2 linked regions of the Schizosaccharomyces pombe genome follow. Changing the gene in region 1 together with any one later gene gives a genetic interaction. Each region holds a gene or a part of one and is shown on either strand. Other genes may lie near its edges.

The links.
Region 2: mutations in ibp1 (region 1) and alg12 together harm fitness more than expected from each alone (negative genetic interaction), as found in Schizosaccharomyces pombe (one large-scale study listed by BioGRID).

The regions. Positions count from the first base shown.
Region 1 is NC_003423.3:610,677-613,940, forward strand, and holds ibp1 (Cdc25 family phosphatase Ibp1 ), read left to right. Parts: upstream 1-1,742; 5' UTR 1,743-1,993; coding exon 1,994-2,410; 3' UTR 2,411-2,643; downstream 2,644-3,264. Other genes in the region: P-type calcium transport ATPase Cta3, read left to right, coding at 1-608; its8 (pig-N family GPI synthesis protein), read right to left, coding at 2,831-3,264. UniProt on the Schizosaccharomyces pombe protein: May play a role in DNA replication checkpoint via regulation of hsk1 or may act downstream of hsk1 in an S phase regulatory pathway.
Region 2 is NC_003423.3:1,083,422-1,087,354, forward strand, and holds the start of alg12 (dolichyl-P-Man:Man(7)GlcNAc(2)-PP-dolichyl-alpha-1,6-mannosyltransferase), read right to left. Parts: upstream 1,934-3,933; 5' UTR 1,898-1,933; coding exon 1,739-1,897; exon of another isoform or gene 1,691-1,738; coding exon 706-1,690; intron 661-705; coding exon 164-660; 3' UTR 1-163. Other genes in the region: F1-ATPase gamma subunit atp3, read left to right, coding at 2,515-2,594, 2,674-3,499. UniProt on the Schizosaccharomyces pombe protein: Mannosyltransferase that operates in the biosynthetic pathway of dolichol-linked oligosaccharides, the glycan precursors employed in protein asparagine (N)-glycosylation.

The sequences.
Region 1 (3,264 bases):
AAAAGAGTCTAATTGTTGACATGATGGTGTATGGATTTTTCCTTGGAGTCGTTAGTCTTATGACTTGGGTTGTCATAATGTATGGATTCGGTACAGGCAATTTATCATATGATTGCAATGCCCACTATCATGCTGGATGCAACGATGTTTTCAAAGCACGGTCTGCTGTTTTTGCAGTTGTGACCTTTTGCATCCTTATTATGGCAGTCGAGGTGAAAAACTTTGACAACTCCCTATTCAACCTTCATGGGATTCCTTGGGGTGAATGGAACTTCCGTTATTTTCTCCATACGTTGGTTGAAAACAAATTCCTCGCTTGGGCCATTGCCCTTGCAGCTGTTTCGGTGTTTCCTACCATCTACATTCCTGTTATTAATAGAGACGTTTTCAAGCATACGTATATTGGATGGGAATGGGGAGTTGTTGCCGTTGCAGTGATGTTTTACTTTTTTTATGTCGAAATTTGGAAAAGCATTCGAAGAAGCTTGACCAATCCACAGAAAAAAGGAAAGTTTAGAAGAACGCTCAGTAATACGATTACCACTGAATCCAAATTGTCCGAAAAGGATTTAGAGCATCGTTTGTTTTTGCAGTCTCGAAGAGCCTAATGTTTTCTTGCCATGAATATGTATATGAATATGCGTGAGTGTATCGTTTTCACAGAACCGACAAATCGTAAAGGATTTATAATTTTTTTTTGATGATCGTGATTATACCGATCAATGACTTTAATTGGGAATTTGGGAAAATGTTGGTTGATTATAGTGTTTATTGTTTGTTTATGAAAAAGGCATATTAAAAAATAGTTTCACGAAAGGCAAAATCAAATGATCATATTGTTTACAATTATTGCATGCTCATATAAATCCTTTTTTTTCTTCTTCTTCTTCTTTTTTAATCGTTTAAAGACGTTTACTAATGAAAGACTTCTTTGCTGTGAATGGTAAATGGCAAGATCCTCTTTCATCTTCTGCTCTACTAATTAATTTTCTTCTCATTTTTATAATTACTTCCTTTTTATTTTGAGGAAAAGTTCCTTTAATCGCTTTTCTTGTTGATTTCCTTGTTTCATACTTTCTTTCATTTTTTCTATAATTTCTAGTCCGTTTTTTGTTAAGCTTCTTAAAGCAATAAAAAGACCAAAAAGAATAAATACAAGTCACTTTAGACTAATATCTTTAAATAATGTTGGCCGATCATTTCACGTCGCAACTAGCTATATATTTATTCACTTTAATCAATATGGCTTAACATAGCAAATTTAGAAGTAAAAAAATATCCCTTTTAATTTTTTTATTCTACAGGTAGTATATACAAATAATTAATGAGTTAGCTGTAAACACATTTCCTCGTTATCGCGATATAAAAATTTTCGATTAATCGGTTTAATTCATTAAGTCAATAGAGAATCTGTTGAAGAGAAAAGCGGATTCTACAAATGCCTCTTTATTCCAGCATTTTAAGAAAATAAAGAAGAAGATCTTGGTCGCAACGATGCCCATAAATTTGCGACATTCCTACTAGCCTTTTTTATTTACATTAACAAAACTGAACACAACCCCAAATGACAAACTCGGCCCTGAAATGCAAAGAAATAATTAAAAAAATAAAAAAAGAATAAAAGGAAACGACACCGATTATCTCATACATGTTCTCATGTTTGTGATTCCAAAATCTCAAAATCCAGTACTGGATGTAACGTACCACGCTACAGACTTCGTTCTGAGACATTGGCATCCTTGTTTTCTACCACTAATATATTTCAGTAGACGAGAAATACATACCTTGTAAACGGATACTATTAATAATACCAGACTATTTGATTTCCCTCTTTTAATCTTTACTTAAGCGAGTTTGTAGCTACTACTATTGTGTTTGGTGTTCTCTACTTTTCTAACTGAATTTTTTTTTCTACATAGCCGTTTGCTTCAATTCAGCTACTTGATAGTTGTTCATTTTGCTTTTAATTCACTTTTATAGCCTTTCGTAAACGATGTCTACTTTGTCTTATGTATCGCCTGATGCTTTAAAAGGCTGGTTAATGGAATCGCCTAACGAGATTAGCATAATCGATGTTCGTGACTACGATTACGAAGGAGAACGTATTCCTGGCAGTGTGCGTATTCCTTCCGACACTTTTCTCGCTAGTGTTGATCAGCATGTTGACGATCTCATGAAGAAGAGATCACTCATCGTCCATTGCACTTATTCTCAAGTTCGCGGTCCTAAAGCTGCCAGAGTACTTTCAGAAATTTTGAGAAACCGTATAACAGAAAGTAAGGAAAAGCTCTCTTTAAGCCAAAAAGAAAAGCTCTTTCAAAACCTTCCTACTGTTTACATCCTTCATGGTGGGTTTTCCGCATGGAAACGGCGGTATGGTGGTCAACAAGGTCTTATCGAGTATGATTAATTGATTGTGCTTGAAAAGTCCTTTGACTTCTTCCTTGTCACTCATATAAATCCTGCTTTAAACTTTTTTATTTGGTACGTTTTATCCCACTCCGGGTTCATACTTTGTGTTTTCGCAACACCATTCGTTTGATATAATCCTTACAATCTGTATGGATATAAACTACATCTCATAATCTCCAAGAACCTTAGTAGTAGTTTGCATGCCTACAATTATACAAACACATTTTCTTTAAAATAATCCTTCGTTTATCAGTGTTTTATACTTTTAATATTTACCTACTTCGTTAATAAGGTCATGTATAGACATTCTCATAATCGGTTTACCAATATATATTTATAAAGAATAAGTAAGGGAAGAAAAAAAGAGAGAACGATGCGATACTTCATCGAGTATCAGCTATCTTAATATTATCTAAATTTAATTAACTTTCTCATGAATAGTGTAGGTAATATTTTTGCAAAGAATCGCGCTTGCATGTTCCAGAGCAGTAATAAAAAGTATCAAAAAGTTGCTGATGCAAAAATGACTAATACTCACACCAATGTCCTTCCACGAGCCTTCGTCCTTTACTAAATAAAAAAAGTTAATTGTAACTATATCAGCCATTCCAACTGCCAAAAAGAAAGTAACTTGCTGAATCCCTCCCAGTCGTTTGTTCATTATTCCAAAAGCTGCCGAAAGTGCGATAAATGGAACCAGAATAGTGTACATTAAGAGTGCACCTTGTGTTACCGGATTGAATACAGGAATAAAACGTTTCACCGAATCCAAAGCGAATGTGGAAAGTGAAGCCACGTTTCCTGTACCAAAAAATGCGACGTTAATAAATATGTAGAAGAAAAGGGAAATGC
Region 2 (3,933 bases), 470 kb from region 1:
ACTTTGAATTGTCTGCGAACTAAAATTATGTTTATTCACTCTACTTATCGTTGCAATACAATTCAAGTGGGGGATGCTACTAAATTGTAACTGTAAATACAAAATCGTAAAACTTGAAGAATATACCTTGAAAAAATTTTACTCTCGTTTTCTTACTAAACTATCATCCCTGGGTGATATGCGTTAGAATCCGATCTTTGTCAATAAAAAAGTTCAGACGGTCTTCCCGGTAATCTCTTGTCAACAATGTGTCAGGAGATACCACCCTATAAATAGGAGGCCAAAGTTTAATCTCGTCAACTTTATGTCCGATGAATGAAGAGTAGTCATCAACTGCGGCAGGTTTAGTTGCTCGTGCTTTTTTGTTTGCCAAGATGTAAACGGGCTGTGCTGGATTTCTTATGGAGATTTCTCGCGGTATGTGATTACTTAACCATTTTGGAAGGATGGGAATTTTCGTGTTGGAATTAACGGATTCTATAACATCAAAAGTATCATTATATGATTCGGGATCTTCGGTGATTAAATAGTCGAATTGGGAAATAAATAAAGAATTTGAAAGCATTTTAGGATCCTCAGTTTTGTCATAGTACCACGATGGAAGCTGTGAAAATCGAGTTATACCTGTCATACACGGATATACATCCATGTGTACAGAAACTAAGTACGTTAGAATAATCTAATTGGTGAAAAAGTTGAACTTACCTTGGGGATGATTTTCAATTTCATATAAACGAGTTAATGCTAGACCACCAGGGTAAGCGTATTGAAAAACATATAACAAAAAACTGCTTCCAATAAACCCGAAGATTATCCCCGAAAAAAACATTAACCTTAGAATTTCAAATATTTTCTTGCCAAATTTACTGGCATTAAAGCATAAGGAAGCCCCAATTGCACTAGCTGCGTTAAACCAAGGGATCGAATAGATAATAAAGCGCCATTCTTTATGGCCTAAAAATGAATAAACAAATATAAAGAAAAGGGGAACATATATTAAAAGACGAGCAGGCTTGATGTAAACAAAGCTGATTAAAAGGAAGAGCAATGTCGTGGGATTGAGAAATAGCCAAGGAAGTCTCACAAAGTAGTAGTAAAAAGGGCTTGTTCCCCAATCTGAAGATTTCCCTTCAACAACATTGAATAAGAAAGCTTCTAATTCAGGCCAACACCAAGCCCCCCAGAAATAGGAATCAATGAGAAAAGAAGCTCCCACTGCTGCTAATGAAGAAGAAATACCAACGAGTAGCAATTTTGATAAAGTAATCCTCCTCTGAAGCAATAATGGTAGAATCAAACACATTAGAAGTAAAGCTATTTCGGACCTAACAATCGCTGCGGCAAAAACTAAAATACTGATAGAGCCGTAATAATTATTTTTAAGTAACAAAGAAAGAGAGTGGTTCGTAGCTATTAGTCCGAAAATATTTGACAATGGTCTGGACATATAGTACACGAGGTGAAATTGAGCGCAGCTAAACAGTATAAACAGTGCTCCAGACAATGTGCCGAATCGTTTGCTAATGGAGCAGCTTACAGAATTCATACTCTCCCAACTTAAATACCCAATTGTCCATCTAGCGGCAAGTAATGGATTAACAAACCAAGAAGGTATATAGGACAAAACTGCTATAAACAAACTCGGTATGAAACTCCGTTTAACGGCTCCTGGAAACTCCAGATGATCATACTAAAATATGTGAGTAATTTAAATAAGGAAATAATTATCAACTACTACCTTTGACAAATCCCAACGATACGTCTGAATGTCATGAATCGCTTGCATAGCAAACGACTCTTCTACCTTTGTAAACGGAGTTTTGTACGAATAATACCCTATGCATGTCACAAGCAAAATATTTGCCAAATACCAACAAATGCTCTCTTTAGAAGTCATCCCGCTTCATCATTTATTGAAAGCATACAAATAGTTATTGGAGAAAGAGCAAAGGTGAATGAATATACGTAAATAAAGCAACGATTAATTTTGCTAAATCTAGTTTAAGGAGATTCAAGGTAATGATTTATTTGTTATAAACAAGGGTTGTTCGCTGCACTGTCTTCTAACTTTGCATCTTTGTGTACGTTAAGTATCTGCTTCTCCTCTTTTAATCGAACATTTTATATGTTAAATTTTAATTACCTCTACTATTTGCAAAACGAAATTCACATCTTTCATCAAAATTTAATTATTCCTTCTGTTTAGGGAAACTTTGAAAGAATACAACGATCCTCGTTAACTGATTTACCATGGTAGTTTAACGTATAGCGTTTTGGAGGAATATTCATTATAGAAAACGTGCTATTATAATTAAGGTGAGAGATATAATTGCATTTCATTTATTATTTAAACTAATTTTTCTTCTTATCGTTCCTGAAAATCGTTGCTAGTACGGTCTATAGAACGATAGATTCGTCGGTTCCAATAGCATGCTTTACCACGGGTATACACCAAACCTCCCCCCATATCATTACGAAACAGGAATCAATAAAAGCTAACGTCAATTGAACATTATGCTTCGTCAAACGCTAACTCAGGCGTCTCGGATGCGTCCTTGTATATCTGTAGTTGGATTTCGGGGTTTTCACGCTAGGTATGTTGTTTAGGTTTACTTTTTGTGATTCACAAACATATTCGAAGTTGAATGCATTTTTTCTAACGATTTTTTATAGTTCTCCTTGTGAGGCAACGCTAAAAGAGATTGAACAAAGGCTGAAGTCTATTAAGAACATTGAAAAGATTACCAAGACCATCAAAACTGTAGCTCAAACTAAGCTTACTAGGGCTCAACGTGCTATGGAAGCTTCTAACAAATACTATCGTGTATCTGATGAAGTGTTTAAGGAGGCTGGAACTAAAGCACCTGAGGAGGGTAAAACTCTTATGGTTGCTTGCTCTAGTGACAAGGGTCTTTGTGGTGGTATTCATTCTTCAATCTCTCGTCTTATCCGTAGAGAACTACATGATCCTAAGACATTTGAGAACACAAGTTTGTGTATTTTGGGAGAAAAAGTTCGCACTCAATTACTTCGTTTCTGTCCCGAATCTTTCTACTTGACTTTTGCACACATTGGTGGAGCTAGTCCTTCTTTTGAAGAAGCTTTACAAATTTCTAGTAACATTTTGGAACATGCTAAAGACTATGATAGAATTGTTCTCGTCTATAACAAGTTTGCTTCCGCTGTCTCGTTTGAAACTGTGATGAAGAACTTGTATACAACTAAGGCCATCAATGAATCCCCCAATCTCTCTGCATACGAGGTAAGTGATGAAGTCCATCAACCACTCATGGAATTTGCATTTGCCAATGCTATTTTTTCTGCCATGGCGGAAGCTCATTGCAGTGAAATGTCATCTCGTCGTAACGCCATGGAAAATGCAAGCAAGAGTGCTGGAGATATGATTAACAAGTTTTCCATCCAATATAATCGTCAACGTCAAGCCTCCATTACTAACGAACTTATCGATATCGTTACTGGTGCAAACTCTTTGGCTTAATTCTTGATCTCTTTGGTAAGGTTCAAATGCATGTTAAGATTTTTAAATTAAAGAAGTTTGTGAAATATAAGCGCTGAAGTCAACGATATTTCTTGTCTATTTAGCTTAACTTTTTACCTTTATACCATTTGAACCGTAATTCATTGAAAACGTTCAGATTAAGCTTACCTTTTGTTCTTAATAAATTTACGTCCATCTTTTTATCGTAAGTATTTTTCATGTAGAGAATGTTGAAGAGGTTTTTGTAAAGCATGTAAGTGTGCGCAACTTAACTGAGTAGCCATTTGTGATAGCTAATATGGGCTGATCAAGCAAATTTGTTAAGATGACAGAGGAGTCCTAGTATTGTATTGTTTTAGAACTAAATTGAGTAATACATGTGGAAATTAAAGAATGGAAGCACCTGACGCAATAGATTAACAGTTGGAAATATG